3 linked regions of the Neodiprion lecontei genome follow. The protein of the gene in region 3 purifies or fractionates together with the protein of the main gene of each other region. This does not show direct contact. Links are inferred from orthologs where the notes say so. Each region holds a gene or a part of one and is shown on either strand. Other genes may lie near its edges. The genes, in order: SUZ domain-containing protein 1, cold shock domain-containing protein E1 and serine-threonine kinase receptor-associated protein.

Evidence for each region.
Region 1: the proteins of serine-threonine kinase receptor-associated protein (region 3) and SUZ domain-containing protein 1 purify together in Homo sapiens (co-immunoprecipitation; 3 studies listed by BioGRID and IntAct, counting the BioPlex papers as one, with this or other methods). This does not show direct contact. The link is inferred for Neodiprion lecontei from reciprocal best matches to the Homo sapiens genes STRAP and SZRD1.
Region 2: the proteins of serine-threonine kinase receptor-associated protein (region 3) and cold shock domain-containing protein E1 purify together in Homo sapiens (affinity purification with mass spectrometry; 3 studies listed by BioGRID and IntAct, counting the BioPlex papers as one, with this or other methods). This does not show direct contact. The link is inferred for Neodiprion lecontei from reciprocal best matches to the Homo sapiens genes STRAP and CSDE1.

The regions. Positions count from the first base shown.
Region 1 is NC_060264.1:3,069,212-3,076,642, reverse strand, and holds SUZ domain-containing protein 1, read right to left. Parts: upstream 3,831-7,431; 5' UTR 3,680-3,830; coding exon 3,617-3,679; intron 3,547-3,616; exon of another isoform or gene 3,524-3,546; intron 3,441-3,523; exon of another isoform or gene 3,404-3,440; intron 3,027-3,403; coding exon 2,956-3,026; intron 2,896-2,955; coding exon 2,694-2,895; intron 2,570-2,693; coding exon of another isoform or gene 2,532-2,569; coding exon 2,340-2,531; 3' UTR 1,754-2,339; downstream 1-1,753. Other genes in the region: 40S ribosomal protein S15Aa, read right to left, coding at 1-79, 475-607; glycoprotein-N-acetylgalactosamine 3-beta-galactosyltransferase 1, read left to right, coding at 6,446-6,476, 6,763-6,941, 7,326-7,431.
Region 2 is NC_060261.1:6,943,280-6,951,122, reverse strand, and holds the start of cold shock domain-containing protein E1, read right to left. Parts: upstream 4,598-7,843; 5' UTR 4,488-4,597; intron 4,462-4,487; exon of another isoform or gene 4,365-4,461; intron 4,303-4,364; exon of another isoform or gene 4,283-4,302; intron 1,217-4,282; 5' UTR 138-1,216; coding exon 1-137. Other genes in the region: selenoprotein K-like, read left to right, coding at 5,172-5,190, 5,279-5,360, 6,149-6,247, 6,814-6,910. UniProt on the Homo sapiens protein: RNA-binding protein involved in translationally coupled mRNA turnover.
Region 3 is NC_060261.1:3,933,258-3,942,697, reverse strand, and holds serine-threonine kinase receptor-associated protein, read left to right. Parts: upstream 1-4,266; 5' UTR 4,267-4,755; coding exon 4,756-4,873; exon of another isoform or gene 4,874-4,940; intron 4,941-5,004; exon of another isoform or gene 5,005-5,268; intron 5,269-5,361; exon of another isoform or gene 5,362-5,409; intron 5,410-5,646; coding exon 5,647-5,945; intron 5,946-6,035; coding exon 6,036-6,265; exon of another isoform or gene 6,266-6,318; intron 6,319-6,453; exon of another isoform or gene 6,454-6,640; intron 6,641-6,846; exon of another isoform or gene 6,847-6,869; coding exon 6,870-7,006; intron 7,007-7,358; coding exon 7,359-7,567; 3' UTR 7,568-8,199; downstream 8,200-9,440. UniProt on the Homo sapiens protein: The SMN complex catalyzes the assembly of small nuclear ribonucleoproteins (snRNPs), the building blocks of the spliceosome, and thereby plays an important role in the splicing of cellular pre-mRNAs.

The sequences.
Region 1 (7,431 bases), on a different chromosome or scaffold from region 3:
TTATTTAACCGGCCAGTCAGGTTCACTACCACCTTTCCGCTGCGGTGGTCGTCGACAATTTCAAACTCACCAATGTAGCCTGAATGCAAAGTTATAAATGACTTAATAGTGTTTGGAATTCCTCTAGGATTAAAATATATTGATACTGAATAATAGCTATATTTCTTTCGTAAACCACATTCTTTCTAATATATTATATACCAATTAAAGGAGAAAATAACGTAATAGCACATTGACCAAAAAAATTACTCAAGAATAAAACTACCACTTTAGTCAACTGCCAAGAGACACAATACAATATAAAATAAAGCCTATTCAAAATTAAGTTGTTTGCATTACTTAGGTGATACAAAAAGTACATTGTTCAAAGAAATATTTAGGAGTAAATGTCATACCGAGAAAGTTAGCACAGTTTCACCATATCAAGCACTTAGAATTATATATTTTGAATGGACGTAAACTTGAAGTACTCACCATGCTTCATCATGACTGTGAGGAATTTTACGATCACTTTGGAACAAGGGCGAAGCAGGACTTGCCTCTTGCCACGTTTCTCGGCATTGTTGATCGACTTGAGCGCGTCGCTAAGAACGTTCATACGCACCATGGCTGGAAATAAAAATATGGTTGTTGAGTATTGAGCTTAATACTACCTGCTTTATTTGAAACAAGTTGCCATTAGTTAGCTGACAACTGAGAAAGTGTACGAATAACGATAAGTATTTTGGTAGAGAATCAGTGCTGTGATTTCTGAAATAGCTCAGTGATTATAAATTATCGTATAGAAAAGAGACTCGCGTCACCCAAGATCATGATGACAGTAACATAACCTAAAAAAAAAAAGAGTAACACAACAGTAATCGGATTTGGTGACATCAATATCAGAACGATCAGACAGGCTTAGGCTATGCAAAATATCAAAGATTAAATTGTAACTTTTTCATGAACAAATTATTTCACAATATTCAATTAACGAGAACACGAACACAGAACATCACGAGTTGAATGCTCCGGCCTGTTGGCCAGGAATCGCGTACACGATGGGTATTTGAGAAAGAACGTGGAATAAAGACGTATAAACACACAACAGAGGTAACTGTAACGTAATTAATCTATTTCCACTTCGGATGCAGAACAGTTTTGTGGATTACCTGCGATTTATATTTTGTTTACCACAGCGACATTCACGCTCGGTTATCGCTAGCGAAAGAAAGATTCCGCAGGCGCAGAAGGTACAGGAAGTTCCCTGGACTAATCGATTTTCGAGAGTAACCAATCGAGCAAAGCGAGACTATCGTTTTTCTGGACAAACTTATTTACTTCCGGCGCCGAATCTCAGATTTGAGTAGACTCTCTACGTAAAACCGTGCTCATAGTAACATTTCGCACTTCGGAATTGGCTACAATTTTATTTAGGCCACGAATCCTTATATGTATTTCAGACCGACACGCTCCTACCGCTTAGATCTGAATAAAACTCAATCAATAATTTTGCACTTGAAACTCCGCTCAAGCGTACAATGGAATACACAACATGGATAATGGAATAGTATAAAAAATTTGCGGGTAGAATTTTATACCAGATTGTTTCGTCAATATTATTGTGTACAATAAATTTTGAATAAGGACAAATTTCGAACCGCGGTATTATGCCGAAGATTTTTTCCACGAATCATGCTACTTCTAGCTTAAAATTAGTCAAAATATTAAAATGTTGCTGGAGGTTGGAGATTAATTGGAATATCAATAGTAATACAACAGGAATATTTTATATTATTGAGGGTATTATGTACTAGAGTTCTCGATATCAGCAAGAATATTCTTGTCAAGCATCCCGATCAAGAAGAAACGAATTTCTACATCTTTCGTCCGCTATTCAGAAGAGATATAAATTTTTTTCCTAGTTCTGACGATCCCATTTGAATCAAGAACCTCTGGTCCATTTGTAACAGAAACGAGAAAATGAAAATAAAAAAAAAAAACTTAGTAAAAACAATGTCGAATTGGTATTATGTGAATATTTGTTTTGTGTAGTTTTTTTCTCTTTTCTTTTCTTTTTTGGCAACAGTGTCACGTTATTATGTAATTAGTATTTGATATTATTGGTACGTGTGTTCGGCGCTGTGCAATATGCGGTGGTGCGCTGTGGCCTGTTGGACGCAGATCCAAGCAGACTCCTTGTTGTTTCCAAGGACGTCACGCTCTCAGTTGCCAAGAAGCGCGAAGCTGCTTTCAGAATTCTGCGGTCGGCCTCATAGCCGCCTCTCCGCCTCCCCTGGGGCAGGGGAGGGACCAAGAGGATAAAGATGGGTGACGAGGGAAAAACCCTGGTAACAGCGCTACCTGCGGACATGGAAACCTCGGGTTCCATCAGGGCCAATTGGCATCCGTAGCACATTTGTAGGGAGATTACTCCCTGGAGGACTCGGTGGCTTTGGCTGGATCTTGTTTACTTCGCAGACCGATTTCTCTTCTGGACTTTTTTCCTCTCCCAGAATACGTTTGCGTGCCTCTGCATATTCTTGCTCCCTCTAAAAGTTACTCCATCAATTGAAGAAAGTTGTTTCTGCTAGATTTTGTTTATGTCAAATAATTACTAGTTTAATTGGAAATTAGACTGATTCATTTTTGTCTTAAAGGCTGATTGTAATGAGTGAAAAAGAGACTTTCTGGAAATGCGGATCGACATATACCTGTTTTAGGGATTTTATCGGCTGCTTCGGTTTGCCATCTCCATTGAGGAGAGGCCCGTCTCCGCTGCCTTGGGAATGCCTTGCTGGCCTCTTGAGGATCTTCACTGTAGGTTTCGGAGGGACGTATTGAGTGCGCAAGCTATCTTCACCAAGGATTATCATCCTTGTACTTGAATTTTCAGTACCTGTTAAGCTGTGCCAACTGAGATTAGGCAACGATATAATGAAACAAAACATATTTTCGAAAATTTGAATATATTACCTCTGGGGTTCAACATCGTCCAGACCTTCCAAGGGATTCAATTTTAGTGCCTTCAACTTTTTGTCCAGCACCTGCAACAGCATAAAGTCATCATCTATCATCATCATTCAAGTGAGAGATGAGAATATCACACTTTCTCTTGCAAAATATTTTTGTAGAGGATGTAACTTGTGGTCGCTGGCTAAAACATTAACCCTTGAGTACTGCACCGAGTTACGTTACAATAGTCTGTTTGTAAAGCGTGCTAAACTTGTCTTCATTTCAGTTCATTTATCATATCACGGGTACTAGAAGTTGCATGTTATTCTTATGTATATGTTCTTTTTCTTTACTGTCTGGCGTATCTACAAGAGGAATAAATATTTTTTATATCGGTATAGTTGCAACCAGATATATATAGGTAAACGGAGATGCTGGGGTATGCTATCAGTGTCTGACGAATCCATGTCGCTGGCATAATGTGGTGTTCATGAGTTGAAACATAGGTATACGCATGCAAATATGCAATTTCTTAATGCGAATTCCCGACATTGCCTTTTTTTATATCAAACTCTTCGGAAATGACACGATTCACCTGTACGCAGGTGTGCGGTGTGTCCATGTGTACGTGTGGGTGTTTGCATATACATGAACGCGAATGGGAACCAAAAATAATACATGCCTGATGACAAAGTGACTGGACTTGTTCCGGATTGTTGAACGATCTCCGGGTAAAAGGATGCATGCAATAGAGAGATTTCGATATACTTTTAGATATGGTGCAACTGGATAATGGGGAAGATTTTAAGAAAAATATAGGTTAAAGTGAGTGGTCTCGAACGGAAGAATGTATACGGGGTGCGTGTCGGATATAACTGAAGTTGCATGGCTCCGAATTGATATTGTACATCAGCATACGCTCACCCCGGATTCCTCCATTTCTTCCCAGCTTTCGTAGACATCGTCGACAGCTGACATTACGGGCGCTTCTGGCGATATTAGGATCTTCCGAACAGCTAACGAAATCTGTGACACGACGACGAGCGCACCACCAGACTTAGAAGCAGTTAAAAAAAGAGGAAAAGGCTCCGTATGCCCCTCATAAAAGTTTTCAACACTCTGAACTCGTCGCGGTTTGTTCGACAAGTTAGCCAACGTTACGGTTTTCACGCGGCCCGCACAAAATTCCCATAGCTTCATTACATACGAATTACATTATTCGAATCGTAAAGAATTTCCTCGATTTCCAAAAATTGTTATTCATTCGGCAACTAGATTTTTTCCCTTATAATTATCTAGCTTGGATTTAATCAATTAACCCATCCCCAATTGTTCTGCACTTGCGGCATCTCGTGTCTGCGGAAGTTCAGACCATATTGGTTCAGACCAGGAAGTTCGAGAGGAGACGAAACTCCGAAATACCAAGTTGGGCCAGGTTTCAGCGCAGAGTTAATAGTGCCGATTTTATTTGAGTTATTTAGTCGTTTAAATGTTACGATTATTATATGGTTTACATATTTCGAATGACCAAAGAACAGGAACGCAATGAGTGGCAAAAATCGGTACTACTATCTCTGCTTCTAAAATAGGTCCAATTTTTGTTAGCACGCAGGCTTGAGGCAGAGAGCTTAAGGTTCGTCTCCTTTTCTCTTACTTCCTCATTCGGATATGTTCAGACCACTAGTAGTTCCACTAGAGTCTGTTGTCTCTCCTGCTCTCCAGTGCTCCAGTCCACTCCAGTCTCTCGCGGGCTGTTGTCCGTGTTTGATGTTCATTTATGATGCCGTTTCTCGTAAATAAAGTGAAAAAGAGGAGGAAAGTCGACGATATGGAATAGAGTAATATTTTGCAGTTTCTCTTTCCAGATCGTGAAAACTTGTATAAATCTTGTAATTAGCTCATCGGTAAAATACCGTAGAATTTTATAGGGAAGTAAATCGGTAAATGCGAAACGGAACGTCAGCTGCAAGGAAAGTGTTTTGACACATTTTTCAGTGCCGGTACGTAAATTTTGACCTTTGGTAATTATTCATGATTTAATTGCTAGGGTCGGACGAATATCTGTCCTCGCGAATTAAAATGAGAGTCCGGTTTCGAGAAATCACGTGTGACGGTGTGTTTGCCACTAAGAAGTAATAAATTATTGATTTCTTTATGAGGCTATTTTATGCCGATTGTAACACCCCTTTTTATAGTTTCTATCACTCTCGTAGTACAACGTCCTGCTACGTCTGTCTTATCGCGTTTTTTTATCATCACGCATGTTCAGAAAATGTGCTCGTGGAACGATAATTAGAGCCCAATGGAATATATTCTTGTTCATCAGACTCCAAATTAGCTCCATTCTTTAATATTTTCTTCAGAACTGTTTTTCAGTTCCAGTAGGTAAACTCGAGGAAAACCATACTAATATATTGTACAAATGTACACCTTCGAATAAGCTGCACACAACTCAGTGTCCTAATATTTATCATTTGTTATTCTTCGATAAATCAACCAATGTATATACTTTATTAGTTATTTGTTCAATTGCGATAAAGAGTCGGTTTACGATGCATATTATGTTACCCTATAAAAAAACTTTTTGCTGCAAGGAAACATTATTGTACACATGGTGTAAATTATTTATAAGTGTAGTACAGGTTCACAGACTTGTGCAAATAAATTCAATTATAGACATCAAAAACCAAATTCAATCATAGTATTTGAGGAATATAAATGTGCTATACTCAATCACAAAAAATAAATTGTGAAACTTGCTCAATGAATATGATTGTATTTATACAACACTTAATGCACATTCATGGGGGGGGGTTTATTTTTTTCTCTTTTATCTACTGATAAACAAAGAAATTAAAGGAAAAAAAATTAATATTAACGGTAGAAAAAAACTGATTTGAAGGTACACACATTTTTCTCATACGGTTTTTTTGAATTCCACAACAGGTATGCAGTCTTAATGTCGAATAGAATTATATTTTGCTATCTGTAAAATGTGCTTGTCTAAGCAAAAAGTACTTTGATGAGCTGCTGAACGACACATTTCCACTTTCTAAACCTTGTAGACTGATGACTGGACGTAGTGTTATTGTTGTTATTAATATGATCAGAGATTTTTAGTTTTTCTATTTTCTACATGTAAATCCTGAGTTTTTGAATTCGTTTTTGGAACTGATTATTTTTCGTCGTAATCAATTGGTTCATGAAAGTAATAAAAAACCGTTGATACATATGAACTGATTCACAGGATGTAGTTTCTTTTTGAAGCACTGATTAAGTGCATTTTGTGATAAAGCTGATAATTATTTTTTTCAATATTTACAGTTAGTTCCAAACTCCAAACACAGAGAGCGAGAACTTTTACGTGAAGATTTGGCAGTGGACCAAATAGATTGCCTACTTGTGTATCCATACCCAACAATGATTATCTCTTGCACTACATACGCGATTTTCATGGAATTACATTTTGTTTTGGGCTAACGTAAACATTGGGTAAAAAAAATTCTCTATTATGGGACAGCAATGGATACCGGGTCTAGATGGTAAGTTGTTCAGAAACATTTATCTAACATTACACGGTAAGTCACCAGAATCAAAAACCAAAATACCAGTGAATCTGGAAGAACTATAACTAGAATTGCAATTATTTTCTCAAGGCCTTGTTTCGTTATACCACTTTGCCTGTACTTTTGTAGATATGTAAAACATTGTCAAGTGCAACGTTAAGATCGTAAACTGCACAGTCCTCTACTCTGACATTAAATACAATGAAGATGGCGGAGGTGGTGGATTTAAGGTGCTACGAATATTTATTATTACTGATATTAGGTGGTCGTGGTGGTCGACGATTTGTACTGACACTTGCTACAGGAATGGTTTTCGGGTTTCTTTCGGCTTGCTTCCTTCTTGCAGCAACAAATGATGCTCCTCGCATGTTTAACTGGATCACTGGCAGCCCTGCGTTATCTTCCAGAGATCCTCATCATTACTCAGAGCTTGAATCAGAGGTATTGACTAATCCGTCATAGAACCCAATCCCAAATGCATTACTAACTCCATAGTTATACTTTGACTTCCTTTACTCTAAAATGGAACAAAAGCTAATAATTATATCAGTCACTCGTAGAGCTAGATCCAAAGTTCCCAAAAACTTGTAGTATCTGATTATATTAAATACGAAATTCAAAATGAATCTCACATCAGATCAGGATTACTCAATTGTAATGTATTGGCATCATTCACCGACATTCTTCACATCGTGCAGGGTTACTGTTTAATTCTTGTTGTCTACCTCGTATAACAGTAAGGTTTGAATGTAAAGCTAAACTAGGAAATTATATTGGAGTAAGAAATCACGAAATATAATGAAATGAAAGTGATTTTACTTTCAGTCAGGCCCAGAAACGGATGTAAAGTTTCACGGAGCTGATGAAGAATTTCACAAAGGGGAAGATGAGGTTGCCCAGGAAATGGCAAAGAAAATTAGGGTTCTTTGCT
Region 2 (7,843 bases), about 3.0 Mb from region 3:
CGGTATCCGCCGCCTGATTGGTGTGGCGCTCCTACAACCTTAGGACTTGGGATGGTCATGGATTTGTAGTCAAGTATTGCTGGGTCGGAGTTCATTATTGGCGGCTGGAACGTTTTCCACTGAGGATTATTGGACATTATTTGAAATTTTCAACGTTTTTATGTTTTTTTTTTTTTGTTCTCTTCTTATGTTAATTTTAAATATCTCCGTCAATCGATTATAGGTAATTTATTATTTGACTTTGAATTATTTTATTTAATTTTTTTAAATCTTCTTTTGAATTTTTTTGTTTTCGTTTTTATTTTATTTATTTTTTTTGTCGTTTTTTTTTTTCTTTTTAAATTGTGTTTTTTGTCTTCGCTTCTGCTCCTTTGCAATATATATACTTATATTTAGAACTTTTAGTCTTTTCAATTATTTAAGTGTTAACATAGATATCACAGAATGGTTCTTGGTACCTTATATATTTGTTTACTATTACAACGTTACAAGAACTTAACAAAGAGGGAGAAAGGCGTGTTTTTTTTTTTTTTTTTTTCCTTTTGTTTGGAAACGCTGCTGAAATGCAGATTCTCTTGTGACCGGCAACTAGGGAGGAAGGTGACACGGGTATCTTGTTAATTGTGGTAGATTGTTTAACGAGAACTACCACGGCTGTTCTTATTCTTAGCAAACTTGGCACTCTCAAATTGTGGATAATTCTTTTGTCCCATTAACAGATCAAATTAGCACAATCCCAGCCAAGGCAGCAATCACAATCGCAGGGTCACCACTACGCAGAGTACCTAGCTCCTTTTCATTAAGCGGGTTGCATACACAGTTTACAAACGAACAATACGGTTAGCATGAGTATTTCGAATGATTAATATGTGTACAAAATATTTTAACACATCATATCATACGAACAATACTTTCCACGAATCTTTGCATTAATAATATCATAACAACTGTTTGATAATTACTAAATTTAGCTTGTTCGAGAATAACTGTGTTTTTCTTAAACATCAGTCATCCTTTATAAAAGGAATAAATCAAAAACATTGGAGATTTAAAGGATAAATGTTGGCTTGAAAATCCTCAGATGTCTTCAATGCGTGCTGAGTGTGGTTGTGTCGTTCCAATAATTCTAGAGTATCGTTTTCTTCTTCAGCTTTTAAATGTGGAATTTACAGTGAGCGTTGATTTCAAAAATATCCTAAACTAACAATTACACAATCTGGAACAAAAAAAAATAATACAATCATGAATCAACTACACCAATATTATCTAATCTTAGGAATACTACATCAAAGATACTTTGGATAGTAGTTGAAGTAGATATTGAACTGGAGTATTGTTATTTTCAAATATTTTTAGACCAAGAGGAGTTTGTTTATAACAGTTTTCATTCGTTGTGATAGTTTTTTCTTTTAGCAGAATCATTAAAATAAATTTTGGAATTGCTGGAATTGTTTTTTTTTGTCCTAACAAAACAAAAGTTCACCAATATTCTTAAAACTAACAATTTTTTTTGCTTTAATGCTTCATCATCGTCTTAAAACACGCCACTATAGATAGGATGTCTCTGGAAATTCGAGCGCAATAATCTAGATCAGAAAATAGAAATGAACTGAATGAACGGAAAACACGATGATTAGCGGCGATATGTTTTCAGAAAGCATTAATGTAGAAATGTGTGTACTGTTTTAGCTTGTTGACAGTGTCAGTTCTCACGTTGGGTAAAATTTTTTGTCTGTTTTGATGGAACACTGAATTCCTACCATTTTAGCATATGCGACACACGGTATAATAATTCACACGTAGTGTCTGTTAAAATCATGTGCATGTGGGATTTGTGCATAAAGTCAAAAATTTATGTTTAGATAATACAGTGTCGAAAATTGTCATATGATTCACGTTGCTGATAAAATAGAAAAAACAGTACTTGATGCATAATCAAAATTTAGAAGTATTTTGAGTATTTCAGACTGACTTAAAAAAATGAGTGGTTCTGAATAAATGTGCTCAAATTACAACGTATTGCTAGTCACACAGAGTGATGTGATTTGAGCTGTTCTCTAATTGACATGGTGAAAAGAATTTATGCAAATCTTTAGAACACGAGTAGATAAAATTAACGTTTACGTACACTGAATTAAACGTTTTTATAATGGACCATGCCTATGATGAATCTGAGCACGAAAAATTGGATAAAAGTCAGAAATAAAACAGTAAATCGAAAAACAGTTTTGAAAGCTTAGTATTGCCTGAAATTCAGTAAATTGTAATAAAGCAAGCTAAACTCATATTTTGCAAACTCAGCCTCTTAAAAGTAATTCTGAGGTTGCAAAAAAATGGTTTAGAGAGAATAATGTTTCATTATGTTGACTTTACAAACTTCATCAATTATTGTTTGTCTAACTTTCCAGGAATGGGATTACAGGGTTGCCCCTGCTTTTCTGTTACACAATTTTCTAATATTTCTAGTAACTCAGTGCTTGAAGTTTTTCAATTTTCTAAGTACAGCGTCGGTTATGGGGGTGTAGGGTATGATATTTCTAAGAATTTGCATACCTCCACTAAAGAACTTGAGGTAGATTTATATCGCTTTGAACTGAGCCTCTCGCAATAGGGCCATCAAAAATCTGTAAGGGCTATGCTGTTTTCTTCCAACAATTTACTTTCATTGCCGGCCGTATTGCGAGAGTATCTGGCAAAACTGTGGCTACGCTATATTCAACTGGAATAGTGGGAAATCCTGCTGAGGGAAGTGGCCCTATTGCGAGAGGCACTATCGAGAGAGTCGGCTATACGCTATTCCTTTTCTACACATAATAGAGATATTGTTGCCAAAAAGTGATTGATTGTTACAATTTGATATGGTAAATTTGTGTAGGGGAGGGGCTGAAAAACATTAATTTATGATTCCTGTTGCCAAAATTTTAAGGAATAATTTTGCCCGTTCATTTAAATTTTAAACATTGCTGACAAAAAACAGAGTTAATCAAGAGTAATCAAAAAACTGAGATTTTTCTGTGTTCAGTAATTGCAGGTTAATTAGACAACATTTATAGGAAATAAGTAACTTCTATCAGCTTATTATATCGACTGGATCTTAAACATGAAATATCTTTACTCATTCGATATGGCAAACATTTGAAGATAAAAACTTAAATTTCCAGATTTTCGTGAACAGAAATCTCTGATTTTTTGGCAATAATTTACATTATCGTCGACGAATATGATGAGTGAATCTTACAAATTATACCAGTAGTAACCTGAATTTCGAATCTAGGTAAACAAACGTACTTAAGTGACTGATTAAGCAATGGGAATGGTCATCATCTAATATGAGTTGCATGAAGTGTTCTAAGTTTTTGTAAATTTAATTCAATCTTTGCCGAGATGTCTTGATACATGAGCGCCATCAAGGACCACTTTAAACAGGTTTGCATCGAAATTTCGCATATATATAAGTGAATGCAAATATTCAACTTAGCCTATTTTGCTTGCTCCAATGACATTTCAAACACAAGTAATATAAAAAAGAACCTGGAAATGCACTTTGCTCTTGAATTCAATTTGAAATAAAGTATTAAAGGAACTCTCAATAGATTGAAAGCGAATGTAGGTTGGCATACTGTGCTACTTAGAACAGTATGAGCATCGTCATCGTTTGAATCTTAGACAACATCAGTGACAGATGGTATTATCTTTGAAGCAGATGATACATTTATTTAACAACTGTGAAAAGTGTATTGTTTCACCAATTCTCTTTCTGTCAAATGTAAAATGACTCAATCTATATTACCAAACATTACTCATTATCAGAAATTATTTAATTTGTTATACATTCAAGCCAATGAAATAGTAGCAACAACATTGCGAAATATTTGGTAGATTACAAGAGCTTGTCGTGAATGCAATGTTTGCAAGTTATTTGGTAATGGATATGCGGGCTACGCAACTGACGTGAACTGGTAGTGATTAGAAAAAAATGTAAGTAAATAGGATACGTTACTTTCGGAGTACTTATTGGACATGCAAATCATTTGACTCATTTGATAAACTACAACGTGCTTATCAAGCACAAAACGCTATAGTAACTGTATTAGTTTTAGTAGCTGTATAAGAAATTGGAGCAAGCAGTGTCAACCTGGCCACAGAAACGGTGTATGATTGACCTCACACGAAAGTACGTTAGTAAAATGTCCATGATGGAACGGCAGTTAGTCAGTCAGAACAATTCAATTTAGATACGCGTATGTTGATTTATAGTCGAAAGTTTCACAAAATATTGTACCGATGTATGTGTTGTGTGTGCTTCATTGTGGAGTATTTAGATTTTTTCTAACTACATTCCGTTAATTGGTATATCATATTACTTGATTTGTATTGAGACTCGCCGCAGCGTTACTGAAGAGTACTAAAAGTTGTATAATAAAACATTGTAAACTAGATTTAAAGTAACGAAGACACATAATCTTAAATTTTTTTACAAAACTCACCACGACACAGCACAGCACTGACGACATGCCGCCATGTTGAATGTCAACATTTAGCATTCACATACAAAACAAGAGCAACTGCGGAGAGATTCGGAACCACAGCCTTCTTGAGATACATCGATTATCCAGGACCCAAAGAGTATGGGATAGAGTGGATGCCAGGACCCTTGAAGTGTATGAACACTGGTGACGTCGGCGTAAACATTTATGGACAAATTGATTAATTAGATTTAATATTTTACGGCTACTTATTCTCGATGTTAGGTGGCCGTGAGCCAAAACTTTCAAGAGCTGAAACTCTGATTTAAAAAAAATAAATGAATAAGGCATTGTAGTTTACCTGATTGTAAAGTTGCATTCATAAATAATAGTGTTACTTTTGTTGGAGTACGCTGATTATTTATTTCACGTTTCAATCAAATTTGAATTTGAATTTTATGACTTTTTAAAGCCTTAACTCGCAGTCACCAGCGGGACGCTGTGGATACCAAACATGACGGATCCGTTTTGCTAGTGATTCTACTACATGCATCGAGTAAGCCATGAAGTAACTCCCGCGTGGCATCATCCCATTATTTCTACATACGAGAGGTCACCAATAGTGGCAAATGACAGCAGGTGACGGAAAGACGTCGCTGAGAAAGTGATAACTGACAAGTGTTCGCGAACCTCCAAGAGTGCGACATGGCTTACGTTTCTCAAGGTAAACGATATATTGACAATTATCGAAAATAAATATTAAAATGTCAAAAACCCAAATATAACGTAAAAAATTTTATACCAATTCTCAGATGGATCTGTGCTCCAGACTGAACCCTGGCCGCGTAGACTGGTTTCATTTTTTTTGGGAATTTTCTACATGTTTTTCATGTTGTAAGTAATAATGACATTAAGCATCCTAAGAGCCCCCCTTTTTGAATAGAAAAAACCCATCTAACCACTGCAAACGGATAGTAGGTAGGCCCACTTTTGGAACGTTTGTGATATGATTATTAACAGGCCCGAGGAAACTGTTTCAAGTTAATTCGTCATTCTGATCCAACGGTAAACTTTTGATTGAAAAACAGAATTTTTTATAAATTACAAGTGTGTAACTTCCCTTGACAATATTTTGATCCAGCCAATACTCGAGGTTATGTTCTGCAGCTAGAACATGCTTTAATTTTGTTTATCAATCAAGAATTGCCCTATACCATTTATTACCAGCATGCAAAAAAAAGTTTATGTAGTACAGAACTCTTATTCATATTTTTATTACACACCTGCTATTAAAAACAGGTGTGCAAATAAATAAATAATTGCATCAAAAGAATCGCTGTCAAACCTGTTACATTCTTCAGAGGTATTGAAGAAAGCAAAATCCATTGACAGAATTTTGTGACCTCATACTTAGATTCACAATCCGATCACTGCCGATATAAATTAACAATTAAAGACAGTTAGGTACGTCCATCTCAAAATTTTGAATGTGATATAAATAGAAGAAGCTATTTCAATATATTTGGTTGGATACTTTCATTCTTTGAATGGTCACAAACTTTTAAGCCGACCAACAATGGATTCCTGTGGTACTATAGTTGGTTACTGATATAAATTTATATTATTAATTCTGAATGATACGAGTATAATTTCTCATGATGATAGAATTTATATATTTATAGTTTCAAGTCATTCGTCAGCCCTGTTTTAAACGCTGTTGGAACATCTGAGGATTCGTACAATCAGGGCACATACAGAAGGGACTACAGGCCTGGCTCAGGGTACATTACAGTATTTATTTAGCTTAAGACTTTCTATCGTTATTAAATTATGCTATGTACAGTATGCTTCAGTAAAATGAAATGGATGATGCAATTCAAAGTTAAGAAAAAAGAATTATACTTTTTGTAAATTATGTATGTATTCATGGCATGTTCGTACACCATAGTCGTGGTACTTTAACATCACTACTTCATGCACAAAAGCGTGTTATTAATCACTTTTATTGCAATGAATATTACTCTTATTACACCAGTTTAATGAAATTTAAGATGATCGATTGTATCAGTTGACTGTGATCTAGTGATTGACTTGTTTTTTTTATTGGCCATGTTTATACTGCATTGATCTGATACAGAACAGGATTAGACAATCAATGTAGGCAAAGCAGAGAATTTATTTTAGAATCTTCCACGTGATTGGTGAACTAGAACTCAATGCAGACAAAAATGACTATTTATTGTCACTCATTATCTGAATTAACAGAATTACACATTCATTTCGAACAAGATATGCATCAGAATTGATTTGTGCTAAGAGCAAGTTTGAGATTTTTTTTTGTATTTAGTCCACCACGTCCACCTTCGCGCAGACTTGGGAGACCAAATACAGGATCATCCAACATTTACACTCCGGGACCATGTGGTGGATGCGGTTGTGGATAAAATTGAGAGCTGAATTTCAACCATTCTTTTCAAGGCATTCACATTTCAAATCACTAAGTCAAATTAAAATCACATGATATGAAATGAGATGGTTGTAAGCTATCTGATGGAAGTAACTGAACTTGTTAAATTTCCTAAATCATATGAAAAATTTAAATACTAATATATTATGAATTATGAAACTAAATGAATACAGTATATTACAGGGAAAAATTTTTTTGTAAATAGAAAAAAAATTTCAAATACATCATTAACCAGAATGTGCTGTGAAATCAAAAGTACCCTGAGAATTCCCGTTTCCAGAACGATGTTTTCCATACTTCTAAAATTTACTCCACTTTCACTGAATGATTATATAGTCTTCCTAAGTTATGTTTGACGATACCGTTTCCAAAACCAAAAACATAAGACATATACTTTTAAATGATGAAACCTTATAATAATGATATATTAAGAAAAAAACAATTCGTGACTCCAGTGATTATAATTCACTAACTAGTGTTGAGGAATAAAATTTGTTCATTGCAAAAGCTGAATGGAATATTGATAATATTTAAGTTTTTAAATTTCTATGTTTGTGTGTGTTCCCCTGCAAGGCACAGCATTTTTCTAAAATGTGCAAAAAGTTGTTTCTGGTTTTTGTGTGTACTGAATGAGATTAATGTCGTGGAAGAATTTGAATGAAAGTATTGCACAGACTAGCAAAATTTATCTCATAAGCAGAAATGCAATTTCAACACCTATATTTCTAACTACAATTCGTGGGGAATGTGTTTCTTAAGATAAATCATTAATATACATCAATTTATAGTTTTTGTTCAATAAACAATGACCAGATGATATAGTTTTTCCATATCTTTTACAAATAATAATAATTTGTTCTTGAGGTTGTGAAACATATTTAAGAACAGAATCACTGCCATGACAAAACAA
Region 3 (9,440 bases):
ATGTATTAATTTTAGTGATAATATTTGAATATTCATATACCCTCGCTAGTTGTTGTTTATGGTGATTTTAATCATATTTAGAGTACGTAAGTACAAGAGAAAAATATTGAACAGGAGTTTTGAATGAAATAGAAAAATATATCATAAGTATTTTTGACTTATCTAGACTCTTAAGTCTTCTTTAAAACTAACGCTCTTCATTTGATAACTACGCATTCACTTTTATATTCGTTATATTTTTTCTTTTTTCATAAAAATTGTTCAAAAATCTGCGTAAATATGTATATCTTGGATAAAAATGAATTTCAATGTGCTGCAAAAAAAGCTAGCGCTATATTTTAATTCAACATACCTGATACCTAAAAAAAAGCATTATTATTTTAAGGGTAAATTAAAAGTTATATGTCGCAGGCTTGTGTTATTATTACACGCGTGCAGAATAAGTCACTGCGTGTTGCCACCTGGCAGGCGTTACAACACGCGTGTTCAAAGAACACAAAATTCAAGCTACAATTGCTTCGTCGGTAAATGTACGTACATACGCTGTTATTTTATTAAAAAATATTTCTTCAACTCACCTCCATAGCAACGGTTTCCCGCCAGCCCAACAACCATCAGTAAAAACTTCACGGTCATAATCATATTTGCACAAAATATGAGCCGAAAAACGAAAATAAATATTGGACACAAAAATAAAAAGAAACTACGTCTTGTTCGGTTTTCGTTTCTTTTGTTTTCAAACGAACAACTTTTCCCGCCGTAAGTTTGAACAGATTTATCCGTACAACGTCAAACAGCACAGATTTCTTTATAATACCGTTTTCAAATCACTCGAATTTATCCATTATCGAATTACGTTCGTAAACCTGTACGTCGAATGGCTAATATTATTCATTTGTTTACTACGTTTTTTAAATAATCGTGCACGCTTAGAAGGGGATTCGCCCACAAGCTCCCCTGACGCGAGTCTAAGCCCGACTGCGGAGACGAGAGCTCGAATCTTTCGGTTCTGCAATACATGTTTCGTCCAGTGTGTTTGTGTGCGAATTCGATCACGTGACTACACAATTGCGCCGCGCAGGCGCTTTCAACCCCCGGTAACGCTGCCTGCTTTACGTTCTCGTCTCCAGAGGCGGCAACAACTTTTTTTTCTCACTTTTTCTCACAGATCGTAGTTGATATGCCGTTTCTCTATAATATGATTTTCGTCCTTTTAACAATATCGGTTGAGATAATATTTTCATCTGATTAAACTAATTTATACCATCCAACGTTGATTAACAAGGACGAAGGCTGATCATGTCGATTTAGAGTTAATTGCAGCATGAGTGGAATTACAATTTTTTTTTTTTGTTTTCACCGTCTTTTGGCAATTTCAATTTACAAATTGCTGACACAGAGCCGCATAGCTTCAAATACAACAGATATCGGCGATGCCTGTGTAGCGTTTCTAAGAAAATAAAAAAAAATAAAAAAAAACCGACAAATTTTGCCGTATATTACAGCAGGGCGAAGAGAATTTGCGGAGACGCGGGGTAAATAAAATTTTTGCACGCTGCTGCACGCGCAGCTCAGCCCAGCGTGAAAATAACTGACTGACCAGGTTATACTTTTCGTGTTTTATAACCGTAAGCCTGGACGAAATTTTTTTTTTTTTTTGTTCTCTTTCGTTACTCAAAACTCGACAATTACTCACGGTAGAATCATTTCGACCCGCAATTGCAGAACAACGTTCACGATTTAATCTGAAAATTGGATCAGCGACCACTCGGCGAAAATGATTGTTTCACAGCGTTGACGGTGTTGGGTGGTTTTTTTTTCTTTTGCTGTTTTTTTTTTTGTTTCATTCCGTACCGTTTTCCGCTTTACGCTTTGATTGTTGAAATTGCGTTCTCGAAATATTCCTATAAGCCCGCTGTCACGCACTTGTAAACTGTGTCGTTTATAACGAAAGCTGCGATTAAATATTCACCGAGTCAATACACCGTGCGTATGTTGTTCTATGCGGTACAAAGCCTCTCGCACCGCATTTATTCCCACGCGACTGCGGAGTTTGCTCAGCAGTTCAATTTCGCTGTTCAATATTTTTGTCGCCGACAATTTTACGGGAAGAGGATTAATTAAATTTTTAAAAAGTGTCGCCACAGTGGTCCCGGCGTCTTAAGCAAACCTCTCACTTGTCGTTTTTTTTTTCTTTTATTTTTTCTTTCTTCTTTTTCTTCCAAACATTTTGTCATTTTCTATTCACTCTCCACCGATTCTCACCTCGTTTTCTTTAAACATCCTGAAGAAGTAGAACGAGAAGAAGAAGAAGAAGAAGAAGAAGAAGAAGAAGAAGAAGAAAAAGACAACGAAAAAAAGATGGTATGGACCCGCGTAAAATGGAAAAGGACTTAGGTAGGAAAATATTATTCCTTCGACGATATGGTGTGAAAAAGTAAAACGCTCCGTAGCATCGGAACGAAATAATTTCTGTAATAAAATAGGTGTGCGAGGGAATAATTTTTCATCGATTTACGAATTACGATTTTTCAATTTACGATACATGAAGTATATTTTTTATGACCGTTAATTAACGCTGGGTCTCAGATTCACCCAAGTTATCAGCGAGCGCGAAACTCATGTATAAAATTTGCACGTGTATCGGTGTGTTTTAATTAATATGAAGAACCTCGCAAAGAGTTTCTATCGGCGTGAAGTCAGCCACCCCCCTCTGCATATATTTCTGCAATCTGCTGATACAAATATATATCCTCTTTATCTAGAACATTGAGATTTAATTAAAATAGCTTGCTTTCAGTTACGCATCGATGCCTGATTCGCGATCGGATGCCACGTTTCGCGGCGCTAATTAGATTTCGTTATTATTCTACTTCGTGTTTTACTTCGACGATTAGGCAGACTTTTGGAATATTTTTTCTCCCGTAAAAATGAATAGTCATAAAAAATGACTATTGCGTGTAAATCATTTTTACTGGCGGTGATAAGAATCCATAGAACGATTCGACAGGTCATTATAGCAGATGTAGAATGACGCGTATGAATTCTTTGGATTCTCCGGCGTATGCAGTGTACGGTATATTCGCTTAATTTATATCCCAAATAACCCCGAAACCTAGTTCATTTCTCGTCTAATTTCTTGCAAATAAAGTTTCCCCGTACAGTCCTTCGAAATGAAGAACATTCTTCACTGGCCCGCGGGATATCAATGTCACCGTAATTTTCCGGCCATTCAAATTAAACCCGTTTTCACGCTGACTCGCATTTCAACCCTTGAAATTTTAGAGGCGAGGGGAACCGGAAAAATGATAGGCTTATATTCTCATGTCTTGAGTGAAATCTCTTTAATGCGAACTGCACATGTACGTACATTTTCTCTGTAGTAAATGAAATAGAACTTTTTAATTCTATTTTTAAAGATACATCGGACTGAATAAAATTAAGGAGAACATCTACCCTCGAGTGAATTCTTTCATTTACCTTCCGATCCTAATTTTTTTCGTTATTTTCGTATTATTCATACTATGGACGGTTGTAAATGCGCAAAAAAATCATTTACAATCATCTGCAAGATTGATATTGCATGCAATCGTTTAAAGACCGTCCCTGATCAACCTTATAAGTAATACTTCTTGCACAATTGCAACGTCATTCATCATTCTAGCGAAAAAATACCAAAGATATTTAGAAGATAATTCCAAATCTTTTTTTTAAATATTCTTACACGTACTGAATGCCTTGAAGAACTAGGCATACATTTTTCTAGGATATAACAAACGACTGCAACGCTATCATTTAATTCTTTAAAAACAGTCTTGCGTTAGTCATTTTCAAAGTGCTGTAACACCTTCCTAAATGAATACAAATAATTGTTTAAGGATTCTGAATAATCGCCTATAAAATGCTTGTAAAGTTTGAAGAAAAAATCCGAAAGTATACAAGTCCATTTTCTAAATTTTTTTTTGTTTTTACGGATTGGGGCTCCTGCAGGCAGACAACTGGTATTACTGTCCGCGTTAATGTATATATGGTTGCTAGGTTCCAGGGGTAGCGACCAACTTCGAACTTTCATAATTCTAATCTGGTAAACTTTTTCTCATTAAATCCAGACCTGATCGTGTGTACACGAGTACCATAAACCGGAGCAGAAAATTACCGGAACAAGTTCGCCTTGGGATGCATTATAATCATTGCAGATTCGTTATTTAAAAATGTCACGTTCGAAAACAGCCGAGTCGCACAAAGAGGCTGCCCTGACAGCGTCCTTTCGCGTTGTGTGTGCGCGTCGCGATCTGCGTTTTACTACCGGTTAAAAAATAAAAGACATAGAAGTTGCAGTGTGGGGCGTCAAGTTTGGATAGAAATTTCATGGTCGGTCCATGAAAGCGTCGTCGTTGCACTTCGCAGTTGCAGGGAGGACTGGCGGCCATGATTTCCTGGCCAAAGACCCTGAAGTCTGAACTTGGCTGCGTATCGCGTCGAGTCGAGTCGAGTCGTCAGTCAGTCGGTCAGATCGTTTCGATTATTACCACCGACTACGGGCTTCAAGAATAAGAGACAAGATAGTAAACGTCTACGAGCGTCAAGACGGCGAAGCATCGTGTGCGAGAGGCCGTTGCGTCTCCACAACGAGGAATCGGCGCCGAAAAATACAAAAAAACTTCCAGTAAACTTAACTCTCGTCATTGTGCGTTGATATTTAGTGCGCGCTTTACGGCGACAGCGTGCGTTTCATATCAACACGTTAAAATATAAATGATGGCGAATTTGAGGCAGACACCGTTAACCTGTAGCGGGCATACGAGACCCGTCGTTCATCTAGCCTTTTCCGATGTTACGGAGTCCGGCTACTACCTAATTTCGGCGTGCAAAGGTAAGGATAAATAACGCCTCGATTACGCGCTTATGCGCTTCCGAATCCACTCATTTCTCCCGTCAATCTGGAATTGAATTATTTCTTCATCGTCATATTTCGCCTTTTCGTTAGACACTCTTAGGTTTTACCTGTCATTTATGCCTGTTTTTTCGCAAAATTCCTCTTCTTCCTCAATTCCTTACCCCTCCTCTTCTCCTCCTCTTCAAACAATGTTTTATTTTTTTTTCCCTCTTTCACGCTTTGGCTGTCCATTCCATTCTGGTTCGCCTTGGCCTAGTTTCAAACGATATGCCCAAGGCCCAGGCTACACTCGTGTACAGAGGCACATGCACAAGGTGCACATGGACGCTGCACGCTTTATGCTACAAGCTTTATCAGCGTGTCGGCGAATTCTTGTTGCCAATGAGAAAAAATCAATAAATTAGAAATAAGTTCGATAGAAAAATTTTACAGCCTCATAGCTGAGCGTACCGATTCCTACCTACCTATTGTCGCCAGACGTGTCGCATGCGGGATCATCCCTCACATCTACGGTGTCTGACCCCGAACTAAACCTTAGAAATGCATGCCTAATAATCCCACTCCCCCACCTCTCTCAACGTCGTCTCTATTTTGTATAGAAGAAATTACCACTATATGGCTAAAATCTAGGATATATCATCGTAGTACACATTGACAAACATTCTAGTGAGCCGAATATTTGTAAAATGGGAAGAAAAATGAGTATATGAATATGTCAGCGGTAACAAAATATGAATAATTATTTACAGATGGAAAGCCGATGCTGCGGCAGGGCGACACTGGGGATTGGATCGGCACGTTTGAGGGGCACAAAGGGGCAGTGTGGGGTGTCGCTTTGAACCCACAGGCCACCAGAGCAGCTACAGGCGCTGCGGACTTCAATGCCAAGGTGTGGGACGCGATAAAGGGTGAAGAAATTCACTCCTTTCAGCACAAGCATATAGTTAAGTCTGTCAACTTCAGTTCTGACTCAAATTACCTGTGTACTGGTTCCAATGAAAAGCTAGTCAAAATCTACGATCTAAACAAGCCGGAAGCAACGCCGCAAGTGAGTATAAATTTGTTTGGAATATAAAAATCCAAAGACAATTGGGAAAGTATAACTTGACTACTAATTACGTATTTTATTACCCTGCAGATATTTTCCGGTCACACTAGTGGCATAAGGCATGTAACTTTTTTCAAAAATGATACCGCTTTGGTTACCTGTGCCGATGACAAAAGCCTGCGTTTGTGGGATAGAAACAGCGGGCAAGAAGTGAAAAGACTCGATTTTCCAGCTACACCCAGCTCGATGGAAGTCTCCAGAGATGGCAACATCATTACGACAACTCATTCTAACGTCGTCACGTTTTGGGATAGCAAAGAGTGAGTATTAACCCTCTCTCCGCCCGACTTGGATTCCAAGTTCAATTATAATTCTGCATCGCCGATTGTCGTATGAAAAAAAGTAAATAATCTCTGAGGCAGTCAACAACGCAAGAAATTCCGATTTGCAGCCGTTGAATATTGTAGATTTCATCGGCTCAGAAAAGATTAGAGGTAACGGTACATACCTAACATGAACTTTCATTGCGCTGTATCGAGTGCAACAGGAACAGAGGTATTTGCCATGAAAGATATCCAGCCATTTATGGATGTACAAGGTCTGGTTCCGTGCCAGAGTGGACAGTTTTTACTTTCAAATAATGAAGACCATTTTACTTCCTGATCAGCAATGTCCCTGGCTTGAACAGCCATGGCCTAGAAGGAAGTTGGGCTCTTGTACATTTATTTTCATCTCCTGGTAAAGAGAACTACTTGCAATTGGCACAGGCAACTTGTTTACAACACGAGGAAGGAGAATAATGCATCGGCATTACTCGTTTTCTTTTTTTTTTTCATCTGCCATTTCTTCCAGAATTAGCAGAAAAAATATTGCTGCATTGAAAAGTTTGTATCCTACTCACCTGACTCGATTTGTTGATTGCAGGTTGACCAAGATCCGAGAGTTTATTGTTCCTACTCAAGTGAACAGCGCAAGTTTACATCCAGACTGCAGCATATTTGTATGCGGAGGAGAAGATCTGAAAATGTACAAATTCGATTACAGCACTGGAGCAGAAATCGGTACGGTATTTAACATTTATCAATGTTCCTACTTTACTTCATAAAATTCTTCCCTAAGCGTATAAGTACATTTTCTGTTTACCTACACTCATTATTCATTCTCGCAGCAGCAAACCGCAATTAGTAATTCTCTCATCAGCCAACAACGGAATGACAATACAGAACTGAGGTCACAGCATGCAGCATGCCTGGGCGTTTATAATATAAGGCCATTCTTAAGAGGCTTCAATCCTGTGCCTTATTTCCCCTTGAACTTCGTGCATTTAACTGATTTTTAGAAAAATTCTTCATAGTTTATAGTGACGAAATTTTTCCTCACGATGTGGTGTTTTTTATTTTTTTATGTTTACAGAATCTTTCAAGGGACATTTTGGGCCTGTTCACTGCGTTCGGTTTTCTCCGGATGGTGAATTATACGCGAGCGGATCTGAGGATGGGACGCTGAGGCTTTGGCAAACTACCGTTGGAAAAACCTACGGCCTATGGCGTTGTATCGAACAAACTCCAATGATTCCAGAAAATGCTGTACTCAATAACAAGCAAGAGGTCTCGGCAAGCTAAACGCCATATCTCAATTCATACCTCAGATGATAGTCTTGACCGTTAGATTATTCCAGGATGAATTTTGACGCGGGGATAAACGTCTGGCAACAATAAAAATTCCAAATTCCGTGATAACAGACGCGCGAAATCCTTCAAAATAAATTTTAGAAGAAAACCAAATTATATATCTAATTAATTTGAAGGTTGGTGTCTTCGGAATTGAAAATTTGCTCGTCATCATCAAGCATAAAAGTGTGAAATAGGAGAATATGAAAAATGAACGTTGAGAAACTTGTATTTGTTGGAATAAGTTTCATAATATTCCAAAGCTCTTGGTTGCGTTTGAATATGTTCTCAAGATTTACAGTTATCGCAATCTTAAAAGTTTATTGAACAACCATCAAGCTTCTTTTCAGATTTTACTCATCTCGATATCGTTTCTATTAGAACGGCTTTTCCTAAAGAGCTGAGCGGAAAAGCGATTAAGAAGCAAAAGTGACCTTACGTTAATTCGTGTCATATCGGTGACTCTGTATGAGAAGCTTTTGAACTACGAGTTTGTATTTATTAATTTTTTTCACTTGAATGAGACATGCAGTATAGTTATAATGCCATATAAACTATATTGTACACCTTTTTTTTCAAAAGCAGAAAAATAAAAGAAAATTAAAAAAATTTCCCGTATCGAAGGATAATTCAAACTGTATTTTCGCTTGGGGAAGCTTATGAAGAAATCTTCTGTACATAATATTCATGCTCATATTTATAAGGTCCCGAAAATATAGTTGTAATAATCGTTCGTCTGTACGTTTTTTTTTCTTAAGCACCTCAATGATCTATAAAAAGATGTGAAATAAAAAAGTCTAATAAACAACTGAATCAGCTAAATCATCCTAATCATTGAATTATATTCGTCGTTATGCGTTCGTTAGGGATCTGAATTTTTTTTTTTCATTATCAAGAATACTGTACGAGAATAACATTACTTCCGAATCGTATACGTCCAAAATACAATATGTTACAGTCGAATGAAATCGTATTACATGATGATGAACCGAATAAAGACGAAACTATTACCTGTGTATTTTAGAAAAAAATAATAATTAAAATTTATTATTAATATACACATACACGTGATATCATATCTATGTGTATAGTGTTACTATGAGAATTTGTAGCGGCTTATAGCTATGCGTGTGTATATGTATATATATATTATCTATTTTTATTTAGAAAAACAAAACAATAATTAGGTACAAATTAAAATCTATACAAACAGCGTTCGTTAGTACAATAGAAAACGCTGTAAATAACATTATTATACATACTTTTAATAACATATATTATATAAATTCTAGCACGTGTAACAATGTCCTTATTATAATTTTTATAAGGATATGATATTCCGGATTTTTTTTTTCTCAACCGGATTAAAAGATTGTTGAAAAATAATGAAACATCATTCTGTGGCAGTATTCTGTAGTAGATGCAGCTTTCCTAACAAGCCGTCACGGCGTCTTTCTATCGTTTCTAAAATAATCACCAAAAATTTAACTGTGGATACAACACTCGCACATGAAAAATTATTGTATCCACAATTTAGCGTGATTATTGCAGAAACAAAATATAATTATTATGCGTAACCACGCGGGGCCGATTTTATACCTACCGTCGATATCGTAATTGATTTATACACAGAAGTATAACATAGGTATTAATTTTCTATAATAACTAAATACCGCGGGATTATCTTCTATATTTACATTTTTCGTACAGGCAACTTTTTTATAGGTATAATATAATATATAGTATGTATATCTATTCATACAGAAATAATCGATCCTCATATCGAGTTGCTTTGCTGTGGATTTTTTTCAGGGCGATGACCGGA